Linked DNA regions of Danio rerio. The protein of the gene in region 2 interacts with the protein of the main gene of each other region in a pairwise test. Links are inferred from orthologs where the notes say so. Each region holds a gene or a part of one and is shown on either strand. Other genes may lie near its edges.

What was found. The genes of interacting proteins can lie anywhere in the genome.
Region 1: the proteins of zbtb8a (region 2) and kif9 interact in binary tests that used the Homo sapiens proteins (3 or more experiments, as listed by UniProt). The two-hybrid records come from large-scale screens. The link is inferred for Danio rerio from reciprocal best matches to the Homo sapiens genes ZBTB8A and KIF9.

The regions. Positions count from the first base shown.
Region 1 is NC_133182.1:41,641,608-41,645,771, reverse strand, and holds the start of kif9 (kinesin-like protein KIF9), read left to right. Parts: upstream 1-1,328; 5' UTR 1,329-1,470; coding exon 1,471-1,505; intron 1,506-1,682; coding exon 1,683-1,765; intron 1,766-1,884; coding exon 1,885-1,985; intron 1,986-2,588; coding exon 2,589-2,748; intron 2,749-2,843; coding exon 2,844-2,950; intron 2,951-3,022; coding exon 3,023-3,253; intron 3,254-4,164. Other genes in the region: si:dkey-86l18.10 (uncharacterized protein LOC100535291 precursor), read right to left, coding at 63-125, 1,042-1,101. UniProt on the Homo sapiens protein: Essential for normal male fertility and for progressive motility of spermatozoa.
Region 2 is NC_133192.1:26,253,642-26,257,208, reverse strand, and holds the end of zbtb8a (zinc finger and BTB domain-containing protein 8A), read left to right. Parts: coding exon 1-8; intron 9-2,283; coding exon 2,284-2,604; 3' UTR 2,605-3,106; downstream 3,107-3,567. UniProt on the Homo sapiens protein: May be involved in transcriptional regulation.

The DNA of each region.
Region 1 (4,164 bases), on a different chromosome or scaffold from region 2:
GAGGTTTTGTAGTTAAGATGTCAGCTTTGAAGAAGTCCAGAAAATAATTTCAGACCACTTACCTTTTTTTCGTCCTCATCCATATCTGCTAAAAAGGTGAAATCATTATCTCCATTGGCCGAACTCTGTATAAAATAGAATATATAAATAAATATATATATATATATATATATATATATATATATATATATATATATATATATATATATATATATATATATATGTATATATTTGGTGATGGCAGCTTAAAGACGTCTCTCATATGGAGAATGATGTCACATGCATTGCTCAGGTGATTTTTTTCCACAGACTTCAAGAGTGTAAAGATCTTGATGGTTCTGTAGGTCTGAAGCAGCTAATATAAATTTACCATGATGAAGGGCAGAGAGTTGCTAAACAACAGAGAGGGGTCTGGATGCAGACCTGGTGCAGTGCAATCTGAGCTGGATCCAATGCTTTTTAATGTGCTCACCTAACCCCACACCTAACTCTACCCGTCACAGTGACGTCACTCATTCGATTGAGTGCATTGTGTCTAACACTGCATCGCTGAGTGATGCAATCTCAGCTTGCATCATAAAGGCTGCATACAGATACAATTGAAACAACTACTGAGAGATTTCAGCTGTCTGTGCTTTCACTGCCTCTTTACAGCTTCCTTTCTTCATGTGTTCCCTTTTCCCTGTCATTTCATTTTACCACACATAAATTAATTTGTTAACTAATTAGATTTTGCATAGATAGATTTCTTTTGTTGTTATCAACATCCCGTGATATTTTCAAGTCAACGCCACCTTTAGAAATATGTTTTCTACAAATGGTCACATCTAAAAAAAAACTACTTATTTTCCCTGCTGTAGCTATATAGATAATTAAAAATGACTAAAAACCACAAGCATCAAACACACATAGCCTACAGGAGCACTCCATAGGTGTGTAATGTATTTTTAATAATGTAAAACACTTATCAAATGGCCTGTTTTTGAATAAACTAAATGGAAAAAATCATGTTGTCAGAATAAAGAGGAAATGTATACATACCTTAAGTAGCAGTGCTAGCAAACAACCACACAGAACACAGATGTACACTCCTGACTTCATTTTCAGTCATAAGTGTTGGAGGTCTTGGAGAGGTTTCAGCAGTTTGTTTAGTATGTCAAACCTGACTTTCAGCTGGGAGGAGCCATGATCAAACTGATGGTCATTCACCTGCTAATGTTACATCCTGATCAAACTATTGCAGTCCATGCAGGGTTGGTTGACTTTAACTGACTCACGCATTGATTCAGTAGCTTTTGATTTGTAACCAAGACTCTCAAAATGTCAACACAAAAATATAGGCTACTTAAAAATACACAAATAGTGTCTTTGAATGTTGAAATATTTTATAACGTTTACACTGATTTCCCCATCAGTAATTCATCATTAAATAAATTTTAATTAATTTTTGGCAGTACAAAACTATTTATTATGCTGCCTGACATCACTAGTCTTTATCGTAACTGGTAAACACAGTTCAGTTATTCTTAACGCTACTGTAATATTAACGTGTATTTTATATCAGAGTTAGTTTTTTTGTTAATACCTTTACACTTTAAAGTTTTTCTTTTGATGTTGGCAAGTTTGGTACCTGGACAATATGACAATAATGTTTGCAAATTAATATTTTTGGCTTCACAAAGGTGTTGCGCCGCGCATGCTCGATTTATTGTCATAGCAACAGCACTGTATCCAACAACAGCGAGGCTGTGTGTCGGTTACACAGGTGAGTTTCTGACGTTTCTAACCGCTAGGTTTACTATTATTATGATTTACTGGTTCTAGATTCAAAACGCGACATTTTAATGAACTATTTGGACAATATTTTTCGTGCTGTATGTACAGGAATCATGAGTTCACATGGCTCTACAGTAAAGGTGTATATTCGCATCCGACCCACAGCCAGTTTTGCCCATGAGCTTATTGAATGCCTGCCAGACCAGCAGGTAAACACACTTGTCTTTTTTACAGTAAATACACCTCCTAGAGCTTATATAACAGCACAATGTATGCCAGTATATTTTTACAAATAATAAAATACAGTATCGATGACTATAACGGCCTAATACATTTATTATATTAAACTTTACAGAAACGTAAAAAAGATAAAGTGTAAATCGCTTACCTTAAAGTAAATTTTCTTAAATTACATTTCATAGATATATTGTATGTGGTAGCTATTTTGGTTTTCAATATAACATTAAAGCATGTTATTCCGTATACTTAGAGAAAAACATAAATGTCCCAAACGATAAAAGGTAGACAGATTATAATATAAAATATGTGACATTGAAGAGGAAAGAGGGGAAATTATTTAGATAGAAATTAAACTAGTGGATCTCTGTAAAACTTTTAAAGAAGGATTATTATTATTATAGTGGTGCGTAAATTATTATTTTACCTTCAGCAAGTCTTGAGATCACAGGTGAATAACACAGCACACATTATCTGAGCCCAACCACTGGAAACGTGTCCACATTAAAAAAAAGATTGTATGAAAGTAATATTTAAGACTGAGTGTCACTGTCCTTCTGTTTGTTTTTTCTGAGACTTTAAGAGTACGATCAAGGAAGGGTTCCAAGAAAGGAAAGAGAAATAATCATGTGAGGTTATTTCAGCTGAATGGGGTGCTGTATAATGTGTCACAAGAGGACCTGTATGATCGTGTTGCCCGGAGTGTAGTGCTGGGAGCATTCAAGGGCTACAATGGTTGGTCATTTGAAAACGTTTGGCATTTCCTGAAATCACAAACCAAGTTAAAACATTAAAAATAAAGTGCTTGGTAATTTTTTTGGTGTGTTTAGGTACAATAATGTGCTTTGGGCAAACCGGAGCAGGGAAAACTTACACAATGACTGGTGCTGCAGAGACTTACAAACAGAGAGGCATCATTCCTCGAGCCATACAAGAGGTGATTGATACCCATGATCAACAAGCACACGTTTATGATTTATGGGCTATAAACCATCTGTCAATTCCTTAGGTTTTCCAGGAAGTGGAACAGCGTGCAGATTATACCTTCTCTGTTCATCTTTCCTTTCTGGAAATCTATAATGAGACTATGGTAGACTTGCTCTCCAGCTTAAAGCAGGGAAAGGCTCCAGGTAGTGGTCTCTTCACTGTGGTCGAAGAACCAGGTGGCGGAGTGTCAGTTAAAGGCTTGTCTGTACATCTGGTTCACAATGAAGAAGAGGCTCTTAATCTGCTTTTCGAGGTGAGAGTCATGAGTTGTGCATGTCAACAGATGATCAGCTGATGTGATCAGCTTAATATACAGTATTGAATATAGTTGTTTCTTAGCCCTTACATTGTTGCCAGGGATTTTCAATCAGGTGTAAATCAGAACTCTGGACTAGCCATTACAATATTTCAATGTTTTATGCATAGATAATATACATTAGATATAGCATACAGACCCGGAGCATGCGTCAATAGAGTCGCCACAGTTGTACAGTGCTCCCAGGACAAATGTCATTCAACCGCACTAATCAAGACTAAAGCCGATCTGAAGATGCTGGACTTTAGCGCTGTGTAGGGGTGTAGTAATGAGCAAACAAAGAAAACAAAGTACAAAGGCAGAACATTTCATAGGTAAGATTTAGTTTTTTATGTTTTATATATAACAAACTTTTGTGCTCAACGTACCACTAACTCAAATACTAGGCTTATGTTAGTTTGATTGAATAAAATCAACAAACAATGTAAATGAAATATGACGAGATGCAGCGGTGCTAGAAATTATTGTCAGCTAAGAGAACGTCGTTCATAACAAATTCATTTACAAACAAATCAAATTTAACAGGTAGGGAAGATAATACATTTTCATGCACACAAACACATGCTCTTTATCAGGAATGTCCGTGCTGTCCCTTATCCATTTATATAGAAAAGTGATGTAAAATTATATCCTACATAATTAAAAAAAATTAGCATTTTGATCAACGGGACAACTACAGATCATCGATATATGTATATATGTGTATATATCTCTGGCTCTGGATGGCCAGTCCTCTTCTGCACCTTGGTCCAACATTAATTTCAAAGGAGCGCTACCCTGTACTAAATGCCGGCTCTATTGACACATTCCTTTTTCTGTTCACACAACATGCTTCTCAGTAAATGTTA
Region 2 (3,567 bases):
TTGAGACGGTGAGAAACACATGCAGCTTCACACTCTTGTTTGTTCCGTTCACACCTCCACATGACATCCTGCACTGCTGGTCAATAATTCACATCTTGTAGAAATATGCTTATATGGCAAGCTGATTATATGATTCATTCATTTATTTTCTTTTCGACTTAGTCCCTTTATCAATACGTGGTCGCCACAGTGGAAGGAACCGCCAACTTATCTAGCACATGTTTTACGCAGCGGATGCCCTTCCAGCCGCAACCCATCTCTGGGAAACATCCATACACACTCATTCTTTCTCATACACTACGGACAATTTAGCCTAATTATCCAATTCACCTGTACCACATGTCTTTGGACTGTGGGGGAAACCGGAGCACCCAGAGGAAACCCACACGAACACAGGGAGAACATGCAAACTCCACACAGTATTGCCAACTGAGCCAGCCGAGGCTTGAACCAGCAACTTTCTTGCTGTAAGGCGACAGCACTACCTACTGCGCCACCGCGTTGCCCTGACTATATTATAAATTCTGCTAAATGACTAAATGTTATTTAAATGTACTTATTTTTCAGATACTTGCAGTGTCTGGTCTGATCTGTTCTGATGTCTGATCTGTTTTTTAAAAAATTATGTTAATAATTAAAATAATAGACATCCATTTGACCACCTCATACCATTGTGAATGCATAATCGCACCAATTAGTCTAACACCAGCAGATTTAGAGCACAGATAGACACCGTAAACGTTCACAAGACATGGAGAAAACAATGTGTTCTCATATAATAGGTGTTGGTTTCTAGATATTGCCTAAAAGTAGCGTAAGATTAGATGCATTATTTGTATAGTATGTCCTAAAATAAGCCGAAATACCTAATCAGGTCAGAATACAGTAAATAGCCTATCCCACAAATCACTTAAAACGCAAATTAATTTTATGAATAAATTAGATGTAATTCAAATGATGAACCCATACATTTTACTCACTGAAGCAGGAATTACGCAAACTAACATTACCAAAAATGTTGACTCAACCTAAAATTTTAAGGGAACAAACTTCAGGACATTTTTAGGTTTTGCTATGCTCAAAATGCTTCATTTACTCAAATGGATTACATTCACAGTACTCATTAGGGTTAGCTTAAATGGTTTGTTGCAATCGGTTTCAAATGGTTTGAGTTATTCTAACTTATTGGCTTTACAGTGTAAAAATAAGATACCTGTATCTAATGAGAAAGTATTATTCATTCATTTTCTTGTCGGCTTAGTCCCTTTATTAATCCAGGGTCGCCACAGCAGAATGAACCGCCAACTTATCCAGCAAGTTTTTACGCAGCGGATGCCCTTCCAGCCTGGGAAACATCCACACACATTCACACACACACTTACACACTACCCACAGCCTACCCAATTCACCTGTACCGCATGTCTTTGGTATGTGGGGGAAACCGGAGCACCCGGAAGAAACCCACACGAAGGCAGGGAGAACATGCAAACTCCACACAGAAATGCCAACTGAGCCGAGGTTCGAACCAGCGACCCAGCGACCTTCTTGCTGTGAGGCAACAGCACTACCTACTGCGCCAGTGTCTCGCCCAAGAAAGTATTAGTATTTATTAAATAAATTAGCTTAAAAACAGTAGTATTTCATTTTAAATATTAAATTTTAAAATGACTTTCTATATACTTCAACAAAAAGGGTTTTGCTGCTTCTACAAACTTACTTACTTAAAATGAGCTGAAAAATCACAATTCTTGAGTTTTTGGGGACAACTTAATTGTTTTATATTCAATCCGCCTAAATTTGTAAAATAACAAAGTTAATGTAATCGATTTGTGTTGGGACAACATGAAAGACTTGTGTGAAACCTAGTAAGATTTTGACAAAGACTTTTTTTACCCCATTGAACACAATATATGTTATTTTAATAAACTTTTTGGAACAGTAGCTTTTAATGTAGAGGTTCCTTTTCTGCTGGAGATACTGTTACTAAAAACTAAATACTTTTACTAAAAAAATAAAATAGTTGTGTAAAAATAAAAAACGAAAAAAATCTTTCATATACCTTAGGATTGGTATAATAGAAAACTTTGGTGTTTAAAACCTTGACTTTTTTTAAACTGCGGTTAACCTTGAAACCGGTTATCATCCTATGCCTAGTGGACCCCCAGCATTTTTTACAGTACAATGTAGTACATTAGTATTTGGCTAATGTTTCTGTCCATCAAATGAATAATTTAGATTGACATGAGATCTAAAATACACCTTCTCCATTTATCACACTGACAGATTCATCAGGCCCGTAAGCTGGTCTGCAGGAAGTGTAAGCGGCATGTAACTGAAGTCAGTGGACGTGTGGTCAGTGAAGGGACCCGCAAATACAGGCTCTGTGACGTTTGCATTCAGGAGAGCGGCTACAATGATTTAATCACAGATGAAACAGATGGAAATGAGGACAAGGAAGGCCTGTTGTTGGGTGTGGACGAGGACATGAGTGAAAACAGGCAAATTACATGGGTCATGGATGATGATGATCTAGCGGAAGATTCTGGAGCCGATCTCATAATCCAGGAAGTGGACGACAGCGACGAGGAAGCAAGTGGAAAGTGATGATAGATTTGTGTGTGATTGTGTGAATGGGCAGAGCTGCCTTATTGGCGGTTTAAGGTCTGTTGAAATTTCATAAGGGAATCTATGTGCGTTTTTGTACAAATAAAACACTTTGTCTTTTAAAAAAATATATATATAAAGTATTAAATATTACTGCTTTTATAAAAGTACAAGTATATTTCTGTAATTGAAAGTATATTTAGCTTATTTCAAGAAGGCTTTTATGGGCACGATGACAGCGTGATCAGTTATTGTTGATACAGAGCTGATCTAATGGAACTTCACTCTGTAATTCTGCCAGATTTCTTGCTTTGACTTCAGTTTTCAGACTTTAGTCAATGCCAGGGCTTACATATATGATTTTATGTTTTATGCTGCATGGAGTCCAGGCGACCTACTTTTTGTGATGTGTAACAGACTCATTTATTTATTTTCAACAAAACAAATTATCAGTCACAGGCCAAACATAAACAGCGTCTAAATAAAATATTGTATATATGAATGAATGTGTTTATGCTTCACTCTGGATGTGTCACCTTTTGCTATTTGTCTTGCTTTTGACATTCAATTTATTTGTGTTTCGATTTATTTGGACAAAAGAAAATATATTTTATACACATGCAATGTGCGTATGAATCGTCATTTACATTATACCCACATAAAAGAGGAGAGTACGTTCACACATTCCAACATTTAACACAAACCCTAGGAATTTTTCACTTTTTGAGCAAACATTGAGTTCCTTTCAGTGCATTGGGTATGGCAAGCTCTGTTAACATTAACTTTTAACATTAAGATAACAGTATCTTCATAGACAAATTATTATTTATTAGTGCATAATATACTGTAGCACAATATGATAGATTATATATTAATATTTAAAATGAGATCTAGTGTCTATTTAATAAGTAAAATAATCTTAGAAATTTAATGACTGAATATTATTATATAAAATTGTTCAAG